Callithrix jacchus: one gene and its partner. The protein of the gene in region 1 interacts with the protein of each later gene in a pairwise test. Links are inferred from orthologs where the notes say so. Each region holds a gene or a part of one and is shown in the gene's direction. Other genes may lie near its edges.

What was found.
Region 2: the proteins of STK16 (region 1) and SAXO1 interact in binary tests that used the Homo sapiens proteins (3 or more experiments, as listed by UniProt). The two-hybrid records come from large-scale screens. The link is inferred for Callithrix jacchus from reciprocal best matches to the Homo sapiens genes STK16 and SAXO1.

The regions. Positions count from the first base shown.
Region 1 is NC_133507.1:140,985,272-140,993,257, forward strand, and holds STK16 (serine/threonine-protein kinase 16), read left to right. Parts: upstream 1-4,026; 5' UTR 4,027-4,208; exon of another isoform or gene 4,209-4,434; 5' UTR 4,435-4,538; coding exon 4,539-4,624; intron 4,625-5,190; coding exon 5,191-5,410; intron 5,411-5,643; coding exon 5,644-5,777; intron 5,778-5,899; coding exon of another isoform or gene 5,900-5,943; coding exon 5,944-6,064; intron 6,065-6,169; coding exon of another isoform or gene 6,170-6,189; coding exon 6,190-6,285; intron 6,286-6,697; coding exon 6,698-6,819; intron 6,820-6,925; coding exon 6,926-7,064; 3' UTR 7,065-7,416; downstream 7,417-7,986. Other genes in the region: GLB1L (beta-galactosidase-1-like protein), read right to left, coding at 371-431, 614-764, 1,009-1,175, 1,382-1,450. UniProt on the Homo sapiens protein: Membrane-associated protein kinase that phosphorylates on serine and threonine residues. In vitro substrates include DRG1, ENO1 and EIF4EBP1. Also autophosphorylates. May be involved in secretory vesicle trafficking or intracellular signaling.
Region 2 is NC_133502.1:125,542,356-125,550,103, reverse strand, and holds part of SAXO1 (stabilizer of axonemal microtubules 1), read left to right. Parts: intron 1-4,545; coding exon 4,546-4,748; intron 4,749-5,431; exon of another isoform or gene 5,432-6,004; intron 6,005-7,748. UniProt on the Homo sapiens protein: May play a role in the regulation of cilium length. Stabilizes microtubules at low temperature.

The DNA.
Region 1 (7,986 bases):
CACCACCATGCCCAACTAATTTTTGTATTTTTAGTACGGATGGGGTTTCACCATGTTGGCCAGGATGGTCTCCATCTCTTGACCTCGTGATCCACCTGCCTTGCCCTCCCAAAGTGCTGGGATTACAGGGGTGAGCCACTGCGCCTGGCCATTTAAAAAAAAAAAAAATAGTTTCTTCCACTATATTATAAGCTCTACTGCACAAGGATGGGGTCTGTCTGGTCCCCCAGTTTCTAGTATCCTGCGAGGCATGAAGGAAACAGTTGGTATATGAATGATGAACTCCAATTTGGGAATAGTCTCTTCTGCTTTTGGCACCCAAATAGCCCATTTTACTTGCTTCTGTGTTAAATCTTTTGTCTCAACTCACCTGGATCTGAGGTTCTTAGATGAATTTCAGGTTTTCGAAGCAACCAGGATGGGAGACCCCCCTGAGACAAACAAAAAGATGACAAAGAAGCATGTAGGTTTTGTTTTGGGGTGTGGTGGCGAAGGAAGGAAGGGAAGGAATTGAGTATAGTGCTGGAGATGGCCCTAGAGGGTGGGCAGATGGGAGTGGTCTAGGAACCACACAAGGATAACGCTGCTTCTATCCCTTCTCCAGCTAACTCACCATCTCCCACTCTGCACAGATGTAAGGTCCTGGTCTCAGTATGACCAACAGGTTCGCTAGAGCTGCCTCATTCAGAAAGGCAATGAGGTCCCGGCTGCCATTAAAGTTATAGACCCCAGGCTGTGGCTCATGGTAGTTCCAGGGCACATAACTGAGAAAGGAAGAGGTTAACAGAGCCCAAGGTGGAGAGACACCAGGAGGCCTACGGGCTCAGGCCTTGCAGGGCATCTCCAGGAAGCGGCTGGAAGGAGGTCCTGCCCTGTCCTTTCCCACCCTTGGCCTAGGAGTCCTGGAGTGCTAAGCCCTGTTCAAACATGCCAGTCTTCCCGTCCCGACCTCCTTTCTTAGTGGGTGGTAGACCCCACCCCTTCGCGGCTCTTGCCAACACTTCTTACAACTGTATGGCGTTGAGGCCGCTCCATCGCATCTTTAAAAGCCGGTCGGCCCAAAGCACTCGCGGTACCCGAAAATAATGCAGGCTGCCAGATACATAGCGGAACGGGGCCCCGTCTAGGAGAAACCTGTCATGATCCCGATCCACTACGAACGACCGAGTGTCTGCCTACAAAGAGAAAGAGATACTGCTCAGCAGATGCCTGGAGGGAGGGTCGAGGGTCAGCGCCTGCCCAAAGCGGAGGAGATGGAAGTAGCCCCGAGGGTGGCTTCGTTGTTACTTTTGACTTTCTCTTATCCGCTGGATCTGGTCCTGCGTCACCGCACCCCCCGCCCTCCACCCCGTCAACTGGTTCAACTGCCTCATCTTCTTACCTGAGGCAGCAGTAGCGTCAGAAGCGGCAGCAACAGGGAGTGAAGGCAGGATGGCTTCTTGGGAGCCATGGCGCTTACAAGGCTCCTCTAGTCGGAGACTGCAGACAGACTGTCACGTGTCAGATTCCTGGGAGGGAACCTCAGCAAGCAAGGGGGCGGAGACCACCTCAAGTTGCCAGGCAGTTAGCCTGGACTTCCTCCTCTCCAGCCTGCAGCCACCCCCTACTCTACTAGTTTGTAAAATCCTCTTTATCATGCTAAAGTACAGTTAACCAATCAGCTTCATCAGCGTCACCTGGGAGCATTGTTAGAAATGCAGAATCTGGGGCCGGGCGCGGTGGCTCATGCCTGTAATCCCAGCACTTTGGGAGCCCGAGACGGGTGGATCACGAGGTCAGGAGATCGAGACCATCCTGGTCAACATGGTGAAACCCCGCCTCTACTAAAAATACAAAACAATTAGCTGGGCATGATGGCCTGTGCCTGTAATCCCAGCTACTTAGGAGGCTGAGGCAGAAGAATTGCCTGAACCCAGGAGGCGGAGGTTGCGGTGAGCCGAGATCGCGCCATTGAACTCCAGCCTGGGTAAGAAGAACGAAACTCCGTCTCAAAAAAAAAAAAAAAGAAAAGAAAAAAAAGAAATGCAGAATCTGGGCCGGGCATGGTGGCTCACACCTGTAATCCCGGCACTTTGGAAGGCCAAAGCTCGTGGATCACCTGAGATCAGGAGTTTGAAACCAGCCTGGCCAACATGGCGAAACCCCGTCTCTACTAAAAATACAAAAATTAGCTGGGCATGGTGGTGGGCACCTGTAATTCCAGCTGTTCAGGAGGCTGAGGCAGGAGAATTGTTTGAACCCAGGAGGTGAAGGTTGCTGTGAGCCTAGATCAGGCCATTGCACTGCAGTCTGGGCAACAAGAGTGAAACAATGTTTCAAAAACAACCACACACACACACACACACACACACACACACACACAAAACCAAAAAAAAAAAAGAAGAAATACAGAATCTGGCCAAGTGCGGTGGCTCACGTCTGTAATCCCAGTAGTTTGGGAGGCTGAGGCAGGTGGATCACCTGAAGTCAAGAGTTTGAGATCAGTCTGGCCAATATGGTGAAACCTGTCTCTACTGAAAATACAAAAATTAGTCGGGACTGGTGGCGTAAGCCTGTAATCTCAGATACTAGCGTAGCTGGGCAGGAGAACTGCTGGAACCCGGAAGGCGGAGGCTGCAGTGAGCTATCCTGCCACTGCACTCCAGCCTGGGCAACAGAGAGAAGAGACACTGTCTCAAAAAAAAAAAAAAAAAAAAGAAAAAAGAAATGCAAAATCTCAGATCCTACCTCAGACCTATAGAATCAAATTTGTATTTTAACAAGATTCCCAGGTGATCTTAGGCACCTTCAAAATTGAGAAGCATGGCTTGACTTGACTGGGCTCCCTGAGGACAGGGAGTGCCCTTTTTATCTCAAATCCTCAGCTTCTAGCACAGGGCCCGGCACACAGCAGGTTAAATCTAGATGAATGAATGTCAGAACCAAAGAGCTAAAACATGTTCAGAACCAAGGGAAACCACTGGAAAATCTTCAGCGTGATCCGGGGTGTGGAAGGGGGCAACCAGGTCATAGAAGGACCTTTTTCCTGAGACCCCTGTTTCAGCAAAACAGCCATTCCCTCCTGGCCATTCCACCTTCATTGGAAGTGCACCCTTCTCCAGCTTACCCCTGCCTGCCTCGGCAACAGATGTCAAGGACAATTGCTTTGTGCCAAGGCTTGGAAATTTGTGAATTTCCGTTCCTTTTGCTTTTACAGTTTCAAGCATGGGATGTGAAGATCAGGGTAATAATAATTACTGTTGACACGTACTGAAGGCTATGTGTCAGATATTGTATTAAACACTGTATATCTCATCTAATCTTCAAACAAGTCCACGAGGTAGATAATATCATTTCCATTTCACAGAGGAGGAGAGGAAAGGACGGAAACATTAAGTAGCCTGTCCAAGGTCAGGCAACTATGTTAATAGAGCTGGCATTTCAACTAGTCAGTCCCGCCTCACGGTTAAGCTACTTAACCTTAGGTACTAATACCTTTTTTCAGGTACCAAAATTAATGATCCAAGAAGTTAAGAAACTTGCGCGAGTTTACACAGCTAGTATGCTATTAACATTCAATTTAGAAACTGAAAGTCTGGTTCACAAGCCTGAGCTCTGAATCACTGAGACTAAGGGTAGTGCGATACAGCCCAGAGCCCGGAAGTTGTACGGGATCAGCAATCCAGACCACCAGACCCGCCCCTCCCTGGATCCCCCTCCAGGCTGCAGTGTAGTCGGCGGCGTTCTGCCCCGGAGTGCCGGAGGTATGAAGCCTCCTACCTCCAACATTAGGAGATGGAGATCCTGGGGGCCTCGGGCCAAGCCCGGCTTTGTTCCCCTTTGGCGCAGGTGTCTGCGTCTTGACCCCTACTGAAGGCCAAGTAGAGAACCCTCACAAGAGTCCTGCGACCCGTCCCCCGCCAGGCCTAGCCCGCTCCGGGCCTCTCAGCTCGCCGCCCTCACATCCTCCGACTGCCTAGCGGTTGCTAAGATATCGCCGGCCGTTGCGCCGGTGCGGACTGATGATGTCAGCGCTGCTTCCGGTCCGTGGCGCTGCGCTCTGGCCGAGCCAGGTCAGTCGGGGAGTGCGGGCTGGCCCACCCCGGGCTCTGGGCTCCGAAGCCAGGGGTGGGCCCTGCCAGGAATGGGCTTGAGCCTCGCACGTCTTTTGAACTACCCTGTGCTCTGCCTTTGCGGCGCGACGGGCATGGGAGTGGGGCTGCCCAAAGGTGGGCTGGGGTTGGAGGAAGTGGCTGGGTAGCCGCTGTGTGTCTGTCCTGAGGCCGTAAGGCCCCTGACCCCACCCTTGGAGCTGGCGACGGAGCAGGGCCTGTTTTCCCTAGACAGTAGAGTAGTGTAGGTCCCAGAGACCTGGGCCTGAGCTCTCCGCATTGGGACTTCAGGAATCTTCTGGATTGTGCCGGACCTGCGACCCTGCCGTTGTTTTCTTTCCAGCATGATCCGCTGGGCTCCCAGCGCATCTCCTGGAAGAGCCCACTCATCTTGGACGAGCTCTTCGGTAGCCTCAGATCGTCCTTGAAGAGGATGACTGAGACATTATGGGCCACGCACTGTGTGTCTGCTCTCGGGGAACTGTCATCATTGACAATAAGCGCTACCTCTTCATCCAGAAACTGGGGGAGGGGTGAGTGTTTGGAAGTCAATTAACTAGTCCTGAAGGTTATGGTCATTGAAGGACAGCGGTCTGCACATGTTTGGGGCACAAGGGTTTTATCCCTATCCCTGTCCTCTCTCACCTGACAGCTCTTAGCTACACGGTATCGAGAAGGTGGATCCTGGAGCCAGGCCTGCTAAATCCACTTTGTGTGACTTTGATAAACCATGTTTTTTTCCATCTGCTTAATGGAGATGATTATCATGCCTCACTGATGGAGTTGTGAGGATTAAATGAGATAATATTATAAAATGTCTCACCCAGTGCTTGGTTCCTAAGTACTTGATAAGTGTTGGCTATTATTTACTTCTGTCAGGTGCAGAGATCTCTATTATGACCATAGGACCTCAAAGATTTCTATATCTCTGCTCCTGAGGAGCTCACAGTATAATATTCTTCAGATTTCACTTAGAGCCACATCTTGGGAGGGTTTCTGCTAAATGGGAAGAACACCCCACTCCCCACCAGGAAATTTCTCTAGGTCCAAGCCATGTTGGAGATGACCATGGCCCTTCATTGACCCCTTTGGCCCACAGTGGGTTCAGCTATGTGGACCTAGTGGAAGGGTTACATGATGGACACTTCTACGCCCTGAAGCGAATCCTGTGTCATGAGCAGCAGGACCGGGAGGAGGCCCAGCGAGAGGCCGACATGCATCACCTCTTCAATCACCCCAACATCCTTCACCTCGTGGCTTACTGTCTGAGGGAGCGGGGTGCTAAGCATGAGGCTTGGCTGCTGCTACCATTCTTCAAGGTCAGAAAGACTCTTGGTTATGGAGGGGGTTGCAACAGAGCCACGTACCCAAGGGCTGTGTGAGCAGTCCAGATGTTAGGAAGCAGGGACCACGTCCTGGGTGGCCGCTTTGGATTTGGGGTTTGAGGTGTGTGTCATGAAAGGCCTGATAGGCTTTGACACATGGAAGGGATCAGGCCTAGGGAGCAGAGGCTCCAAAAACATCTCCAACTTTAGGGAAACTTGTGTTGCAGAGAGGTACGCTGTGGAATGAGATAGAAAGGCTGAAGGACAAAGGCAATTTCCTGACCGAGGATCAAATCCTTCGGCTGCTGCTGGGGATCTGCAGAGGGCTTGAGGCCATTCATGCCAAGGGTTATGCCCACAGGTCAGTGGGAGGACCCTGTGTGCTTGCTGGGGCCCAGAGGAAGAGCCTCACTAAGAGAAATGGGAGGTCTCTGTTCTCTCAAGAAACAGCCTGCATGACTCTTTTGCTCACCGGGATTCCAGGCTTCCTGTCCAGAGATGTCCAGGTCATTTCTACTTCCCTACAGAGACCTGAAGCCCACCAATATATTGCTTGGAGACGAAGGGCAGCCAGTTTTAATGGACTTGGGTTCCATGAATCAAGCATGCATCCACGTGGAGGGCTCCCGCCAGGCCCTGACCCTGCAGGTAAAAGAGTCTCCATGCTCCTTTTCTCACCAGTTCCCCATTCCGCCCCTTCTGGTGCATGCCCCGGTTTGGTCACATGACCATGCCCTGTGCTCCACTTTTGAGCTCTGGGACCACTGTTCCAGGACTGGGCAGCCCAGCGGTGCACCATCTCCTACCGAGCCCCAGAACTCTTCTCTGTGCAGAGTCACTGTGTCATCGATGAGCGGACTGATGTCTGGGTGAGGAGCATGTAGGAGGGCATCTGGGTAGGGAGGGCTGTGGCTCTGTACCCACTGTGGAGTAGAGTAGGTTGTTGGTTTCTGTTGCATGGGGCCCCAGGAGCCACAATATGTCCCCATCCACTTCAACTTCCTTCCTGGGAACTGTTACTGATACTGTACCCAATTGCACCGGATGTGGTATAATCCCTGCCCCTGAACAGGGTGAATACAGCTCAGTGTCAGTACTGAAGGCACTGGCTAAGCAGCGGCTACAGAGGCCTCTGGCTGACTGGCAGTTTCTCTGGGCCCTGGCGGTACCATGTGGCTGAGGTCAGCATATTTTTAGCTTATATAGTGTCCTTTTACCACAGAAGGAGAGAGATGTCACCTCCATTGGTCCCCTTCTAGGTACTAACCAAGTTATACTCAGTCCCTAGGCTGCGTGCTATATGCCATGATGTTTGGGGAAGGCCCTTATGACATGGTGTTCCAGAAGGGTGACAGTGTGGCCCTTGCTGTGCAGAACCAACTCAGCATCCCACAAAGCCCCAGGTGAGCAAGCAATGAATGTGGCACGAGGTGTTTCAGACTCCCCCCTGGTATTAGCTGAGTTGGCGGATAGGTGTCATCCAATCTCCCTGAGCTCCTCCCTCCACAGGCATTCTTCAGCATTGCGGCAGCTCCTGGCCTCGATGATGACCGTGGACCCACAGCAGCGTCCTCACATTCCTCAACTCCTCAGTCAGCTGGAGGTGCTACAGCCCCCAGCTCCTGGCCAGCACACTACCCAAATCTGAAAAAGCAGCGGCATGTTGAGAAGGTGGTCCCTCAGGCCTTAGAAAGAGGTTCCTATCCCTCATTGGAATCTCCCCTAATTCCATCCAGGATACTGTTCTCTTACACTTGGGGGTCACGGGGTCAGGACAGTCATCTCAGTCCTGCATCCGCTCTTCTGCTTTCTTACCTCCAAGAGCAAAACCTGGGCAAGGAGACTTACTGAGTGAGGGTGGGTGGGGGTTGGGAAAAGGGAAACTGCTGGGATATGGAACATGGCTCTGAGTGGGACTGCTGAGCTCATATCATGTTCTGCCTCCAAATCTGGGAGCAGGAGAATGTATAAAGAATAAAGAGGAAACAGGTTGGAGTGGATCTTAAGTCTCAGTGTTCCTGGAGTGAGAGAAGAGGTGCAGGGCACCCAGAGTCTGGTTGCCATTTCCAGGTGAACAACCTGGGAAGAAGAGGGACTGGTGCAGAGTCAGCAGTGGTGTGACTTCATTCCATGGAAGGAGGTTGGTTAGCAGTGGACAGTTCTAGTTTGTCTTAGATCAGAACTTAAAGCTGCTTGGGCTTAAGCTGGTGTCTGCCTGTGTCAAAACTGGGACTAAGGCCCCCTAAAAGCACCCAACTAGTTCTTTCCTTCCTTCACTCCTGGGTTGAGCAGTTGTCAAAGCAGCCCAGCCGGTTTGCCAGGCAAGGGCCTCTGGGTGGAGACACCTGAGGAAGCTTTGGGACAGCTACATTACAATCTCCCATCCTCAGCCTAGGGGCAAGGGGAGTGGAGGTGGCAGCTGTTTGGGCTCATGTCTCCCTGATGGTTCTAGCTCATACATGGTTAATGATTAATGGGGCAGTGTGGTATGGCAGTATCCAGCTGCCACTTCTTGCCTACTCTGCTGAGTAAACAGGGGCCCTGTCTTAGCTGGACGTCAAACCTGTTCC
Region 2 (7,748 bases), on another chromosome or scaffold:
CCTGATTTCCTGTCTTTTATTTTATTATGACCTTACGTTGCTTTCCTTGTTGAGCATGGTTTAAAAAGCTGTAAAATTTTTGTCTGCTAATTGCAAATGTCTGGTCTGCCTGGAGTTGGTCTCCATAAGTGTCTTTGCATTCCCCTGAAGAGTGTTTTTATCTTTGGCAGGCAGGTTATTTGATTGTTGAAAATGCACACTCTGTGTCTTGGGTGGCAGCTCCAATCTCATTTGAGTTCTTTAGCTTGAAATCTACCCCATACATGTGAGGTCATGCAGAGATTTGGGCCCAGTTTATGTATTGAGGCTTCCTGTCTTTTGCTCTCTCATTTTCAGGTTTCTTTCTTCATTTTCCAGCATCTGTGGTTGCCTCAAACTTAGTCCTCTGGTTTTATAGTCAAGAAAAGATAATCAAGAAAGATTCATCTTTTAGCTGCCCTACCTGACACAGACTGGAGCTGACCTTCAATCTGGAAGCTTTGAATCTTTCATAGTTAATGGAAAATAATCAGCAAAGCCTCACACAGTGCCATTTTCTGCTTCCACCTGTTGGCTCTCCCCAGAATCTACCTCTTTAGATCTTTCAAATTGTTTGAAATATTTTGTCTGGAGTTTATATGAAGTCGTGACAGATGTTTGCCTTAGCCCTAGTGGGAGTTGAGGGCTCAGATGGCAGAGAAGAAGACAGGTGCTATGTAACTTGGATCCTGGAGTGCGTGGGCTTGGAATCCCATCTGTTACAGTGAGGGTAAGGAGGACTCTATGTCCCATAAGGATTGGGGGCATGAATCAAGCCCTGTGATTCAGCCAAGGACCTTTGGCAGCACATTGGGATGGACTCCCCAAGCTGCCTAGGATGGCAGAACAGTTTCTTTAGATGGGTGACTTTTGACCTTAGAAAGTTTGAGAATTACATGTAGAAGTAGTGAAGTCAATCAAATCAACGGACACAGAGCAGAATCTGATAGAGGAGAGAGAGAACAGACCATGAGGAGTAGTATCACAGAAGTCAAGGGAGAGACTATTGAAAAATTGAGAGGATGGATGCTATGAAAAAGCACAGTGGGAGAAGGATGAGAAGCAGTGATTGGGTCTGGAAAACAAGGTGATACTTGGAGTATCAAGGTTGAGGGGAATCAGATCTGATGGGTGAGACATGAGGAGAGGAAAGCAAGTCTGCCTGTAGACCACCCTTTCTGAAAGAGAGAAGGGAAAACTGGCGTGGAATGGAGCCCAGTGAGGACTGTCTTATTTTACTCTTTACCTTTGGAGATCGGAGCTAACACTCAGTGGAGAAAGGAGACAGTAGGGAGGAAGAGGGAAAATCACAGTCTAGGAGATGGTCTACAGATGAGGTTCCCAAGAAAGAGGGCAGGGATGAAAGAAGTTGGCTCAGGGCAAGAGGAGGAACCTCTTTTAAGTGGATTCCATCTTAATGTAATTGATCACTTGGACATACTAACAAATCTTGAAGTTTGCATAAATAAGCATTAAAAACAGGTTTTAAAAAAGTGTTGTGTGGCCCTTTTGTCCTGGTGAAAAAAATCTTCATTTCTCACCGCCAGGCTCAGGAACCTAGTTCGCTGTTCGTTATTTCCTCTTTCCTTTTGTCAGAGTCTTGTCAAACGCCTTTCTCCAGCTTTGCTAAATAATTTGAAGTCAAGTTGTTACGACTTTCCCAGCAGGACCACTCCAACCTTTTACTTAACTCTGAGTTTAACTCTTGGCCTTCCCTACTCTATAACTTTTACAGCTGCTTACCTAAAAGAAACTTATATCTGTGACCAGTTTCCTTTTCTTGGTTCATGTCACATGTGCACAGAGAAATGTACCACAGAAAGAGAGAAGAGATCCAGTGTTCTTAAAAAGAAAAGCTAGTTAATTTGAGCAATTTTGGGGAAGACTAAAATACAGTCTTTTCTTGTACATGAATTTAAAGGCTGTAAGATTATGTGTGATTGGGGACATGCAGTTCTGTTGTGGTTAATGACAGGTTTCAGTGAATGTTCTCAACATAAAAACATAATGAGGAAACACATAAATTCAGATTAAATTCACTCCTAAGCCACAGTAACTATGTTTGGGTAGGTTATAAAAGTCAAACTTAAAAATTTTTCTTGTCTTCAGAAGTAGATACCACCTCCCCCTACCGCCCATAATCATTTGCCGTAGTTATGACTGATCAATAAATTAAACCATAGAGGAACACTTACAAAGGAACTTAAATTTTGTACTGGAGAAGGTGACTGGCTTTTGTCTTCAGGAAACTAATTTCAGGATAGTCTGTGAACTGGTGAATTCGTTTTTGGGCATTTGTCTGCTCTTTTCCAGTAGAAGGTGTGGGAGATAAGCAGTAAGTGTACTTTAGTTATCAAGAGCCTGGCAGCCTTTGAACGGAGGATCTTGCGGCATCCCTGAGAGGAAGCTGGTCCTCTCGGTCAGAGTAACTACAGAAGAGGCTGCCATAGCCTCTGGGTATGGGATCCCCAAGAGTGGCAGGCTCACAACTGGAAATCATTCCTAGGTGCACTGAGGTTGGCTGGGCTCAGTGTGGCAGCTCAGGAACCCAGCTTCGTTCCTCATTGCTTGCCCTTAATACCTCTTAATACTCCTTGGAAATGAATAGGGTGCAGGATTAGGGAGCCATCACTGAACACACACCTTTATGAAGGTTTAGGAATGTATGGTCTCTGGTGGCCTTGAAATCTGGCCCACTCTTCTGGGAGTGAGGAGAGCTCAACTTCCTTGGGAGTACTCCCTTTAGAATGTATGCTTTCTGACCCAGAGACCCTTTCCACTCAGCTGGTTTTCAGATGAAGTTTTCTGGGCATTTTCATTTGTCTTTGCAGTCTAAGGCTTTACCCTCTTAGTTTCCTGCTGCAGCTGGTTTAGTGCTGAATAGACAGACACCAGGATGTAGTACTGGTTCACGGAGAAGAGTAGACGTGGGAGCTGACTCTTGGTTTCTTGTTCAGTCTGTTCCCTCCATAAGCCCCGATATACACCGTCAGCTTCCAGACACTTCAGGCTAACAGCAGGGCCTCTAGGAAGGCAGCCCAGGCTGAACGTCCTATAACCGCTGCTATGATATATTTTAAAATCTACCCAGAGGGTGTTAGGGGAGTTCAACTGAAGCATCTCCCATTTCCTCCTTAGAGCCCTAGAGAGACTAATTCTCCTGCTTCCTAACTTCCTCCTCCCATCCCACCAAGCATTTTCAGGACCTGGTTTGGGTTTACTGACAATCGTGTATAATTCACACAAGACAGGTTACAGTGGAGCGTGTTACCTTTGCTAGTCAAGCATGTCTCAGTAATGCTGCTCCAGATTGTGGCTGGGAAGTGGATTTTATTGGTGTTCGGGCTTAATGTTTTCCTGTCCGGAAACCTTCCCCTTCCCTTGACGGGGCTGTTCTGGCAAGCACCATCGGGGAAAACATCTACCTTCCCTTTGTCCAGTTGGATAAATGGCTTCCAGGCAAGAACAGTCTGTTGCATGAAGCAGACAGCCTTCAGAGGGAAGCGCTAGCATTGAGAGATGGGAAGCTGCAAGTGCCCTGGAGGGCAACGCAAGTCCAAGCTAAACCCTGGCTCCTTAAGGCGGTTCCTGGTGGGCGTTGCAGGGAGCATCTGGGCCTTTTTATCTGGGAAACTTTGGGGAGGGACTGCTTCCAGTTTAGTGAAGACCATTATACTTTTTCGATCCTATTGTTTTCATACTCTCTGAAATAATGGGGGCACTGACACCAGATAGCAGAGAAATGAAGGACTCAGGGTCTCCACTTATTTCACCATTTCCCTCTTCTGGGTTTTCTGTAGGCTAAGTAGAGGAAGGAGATAAATATTAGCAGCAGAAGCTTTGGGGAACATGGAGAAGGTGGCTGCATCACCTGAAAGGAAGTTAGCTCCACAATGAAGGGGTCGTGTGGAAGGAAGTTGGAAGGCGCAGGTGCAGAAGTGGTGGCATTGTGATTGTGGAGTGTAGGGTACTCAGGTGGGATGGGAACCTTGACAGATAAGGGTGAGTAAGGCAGGAGCCAGGTCCAGGAAAGCTTATAAATTATGCTAAAAAGTTGAATTTTACCTGGAAGATTTTTAAACCGGGGAGAGAGAGTGATCTGATTTCCACTTGGAGAGTTTATTCTGGCCACATTATGGGGATTGAATAGAAGTGAGAGAAATAAAGAAGGATGCTCAGGTGGCAGGCTGTCACCTGATCCAAGTGAGAAATGGTCAGGGTCTGGAGCAAGGGGTAAGAAAAACCCATGGGGTGGAGGGGCACTGGTGAATGCCAGACTCTGGGGCCGTGAAGGAAGGAGGTCAAGGGTGTGTACAGGTGTCTGACTTGGGTGAGAAGAAATTGATGGTACCTTTCTCAAAAGTGGGAAATAGTGGGAAATAGAGGAGGAAGAACAGTTTGGGGAGTGTGGGGGTGTGTAGAGTAGAACAAGATTTCTCAGCAAATGTTTGTAGAGTTGGGTTGAGAGGAAAACACAGCCTTATTGCAAGCCAAGCACTCCAACGGCATGCACTTGCTTCCTTACAGGAGAGATTTTGGGCCTCACAAAGTGTCACCAGTGAAGGTCCACCAATATGACCAGTTCGTCCCAAGTGAAGAGAATATGGATTTGCTCACGACGTATAAGAAAGATTACAATTCCTACCCTGTCTGTCAAGTGGACCCCATCAAACCTCGGGACAGTAAATATCCGTGTAGTGACAAGATGGAGTGTTTGCCTACTTATAAAGGTGGGAGAGCACAGAGGGGCAGATTGGGGAAAGACAGGCTGAGCCTGTGTGCGGGCCAGGAAATGTGTTTTATGTACATTCCCCTTTAGTGCAAGAGTTGGCAGACTACTTCCTGCAGGCCACATCTGGCCAGCAGCCTGTTTTTGTATGACTGGAGAGCTAAGAATGTTTAAATATTTTTTAATAATTGAAAAAAAAATCAAAAGGGTATTATTTGAAGACTGTGAAAATGATATAAATTCCAAGTTCAGTATTCCTGTTTTATTGGAACACAGCCATATTTACTCATTTACGCAGTATCTATGGCTGTTTTTTACACTCTAGTGGCAAAGTTGAATAGTTGCGACAGAGACACTATAGTCTGTGAGACACTTAATATCTGGTCCTTGAACAAAAAATCTGCCAACCCCTGCCTTAGCATGCAGTTTGAATCCTATATTGGGGGGAAACATTTCAAGTTCAAGCTAAGCTAAGTTAGTTTCTACCACTGATTGATTCATTCACCTGTTTAAAAAATAGATCAAAATGTAACATACATATAGAAAAGTATTTAAATCATAATTACACAGATCAATGAATTTTCACTGAACACATCCATATAAATAGCACCCAGATCAAGAAATATAACATTACTACTCCATTTCTGTCACCTTCCCCAACCAGAATGTAACCATTACATTAACTTTTATTTATTTATTTATTTATTTATTTATTTATTTATTTATGGTGAAAAGATATACATATATTTAGAATTAGCCGGCTGGACTGTTTAGATGATCCCAATTTTGTTTGCAACATCCAAAGCATCGTAATCAGGAGCCAGTCGAACATATGCCTTCTTCTCTCCATCAGGCCGAATCAGGGTGTTGACCTTGGCCACATCAATGTCATAGGGCTTCTTCACAGCCTGTTTGATCTGGTGCTTGTTGGCTTTAACATCCACAATGAACACAAGTGTGTTGTTGTCTTCTATCTTCTTCATGGCAGACTCAGTGGTCAGTGGAAACTTGATGATCGCATAGTGGTCAAGTTTGTTTCTCCTGGGGGCGCTCTTCCGAGGATATTTGGGCTGCCTCCGGAGTCGCGGGGTCTTGGGCCGCCGGAAGGTGGGTGACGTGCAGATCTTCTTTTTTTTGTGGCTGTGGACACCTTTCAACACTGCCTTCTTGGCCTTTAAAGCCTTCGCTTTGGCTTTGGCTTTAGGAGGGGCAGGAGCTTCCTTCTTCGCTTTCGGCGCCATCTTGTGAAAAGGGTCCTATATTAACTTTTAATACCTTAAATTAGTTTTGCCAGTTTTGAACTTTATGTAAACAGGATTGCTTCTTTCTTTATTGAGTATCTATTAATATTACCTATGAGGTGTGGCCCTAGAAACTGAAGGAAGCATAATGGCCTGCCCTTGACTTTCTAGCCTAGTGGAGACACAAGATGCGGTCATATGTGTTGTGCAAGCAGACAGCCACTCTGTGGAGCTCAGCTGCAAAGACTGAGACCATGAACCTGGAGACCAGGTTTGTAATCAATAACTCATGCTTGTGATACCCACCATTGCCCCAGGAGGATGTGCTAAACAGTTCATGGACCTCTAAATGGCTGTGAAGAGGGCCGCTTTTATTTAGTCAAGCCAAGCATTTAGTGTGAAGATGGCAGTGGAGGTAGGAAAGTTGGAGGGATATGAGCTCCTGGAAGGGCCTCTAATTCTGTCATCCTGGAGGACCCTGTGCATGGTTGAGTTTCTCTGATTCTTCTAGGCACTGAGGACTGGATTAGCATGGGCCTTTTCAGCAACCTGGGCTCTGCCCTTTTATATTCTTCAGCTTCCTTCTCTAACACTCCCGTATAGCTACCTATATAGAATGTCAAGCCACATTCTGAATGTTATCATACCCTGAAATGGTCCCACCTCTGAAGCCGTTGTGCACATCTTATCCTCAGACTTGTCCTCTGATCTCCTCCCTCCATGACAGTCCTTAGCCCTGCTGGCCCTCCAATCCATTGATGCCTCAGACCTCCCTCTTACCACCAGCCCCTCCTGCAAAAGTCCGTCCCCATGTGGTCTACTCTGTGGGCTATCTTTGGACCCCATTTCCTACTGATGGCCGAGACTCTCTCTCTCTCCTGCCCCTTTGCTATTGCCTCCTGGCAAAGCCCTAATCCTGTTTTCTCCATGTCTACACCTGGGTACACACCTGAGCATACCTCCCGTCTTGTCAACTCTTAGCCATTTGCCACAGAAAGGGAGCAAAGAGGTTTTCTAAACATGGCAGTCTGATCTGACCTCTCCTTTGCTTAAAACTCCTCAAAAAATCATTTGATAAAATCATTATTTTTTCAAATCATATGATCCTAGGGCGATAAAAACCCAAACCTTTACTGCCTCCTCTGATGCCTTGGGAGGCCCTGGTGTCTTCTTTCTGAGCACCTCTGCTCCAGCCTCAGGGCCTTCTTTCAGGTGCCTTCCTTTTTTCTCTTCCGCTTCAGGGCATTTGTTTAGCACACGTGATGCCTTCTATATAGAATCCTTCTGCTTCCTTGATCTAGCACTTATCCTTCAGCTAGCAGCTGAAAGATCACATTCCCAGCCCTTGCCCCATGTCAGATTGGATGCTGTATAGGTGCCTTGTTACTTCCCTGTCTTGTCATTCATTATGCACTTTTTAAAAAAATTTATTTGATATTTGATATTTTTAATTTTTTTAAGACGCAGTTTCACCATGTTGGTCAGACTGGTCTTGAACTCTCAACCTCAGGTGATCTGTCCGCCTTGGCCTCCAAAGTGCTTGGATTACAGGCGTGAGCCACCACGCCTGGCCCATTATGCACTTTTAATGCTTCTTTTAATGGCCAGGCTGTAAGCTCCAACAGGCAGGGATCTGTTGGTCTTTTTCGTTCCCAATTACCCTCTCACAGCAGGCACCATACAGGTGCTTTACAAAGGAGTCCCTACAACCAGGTGCATGATCATGGGCAGGGTGTTGGGGGGCACTCTTGCCTCTACTG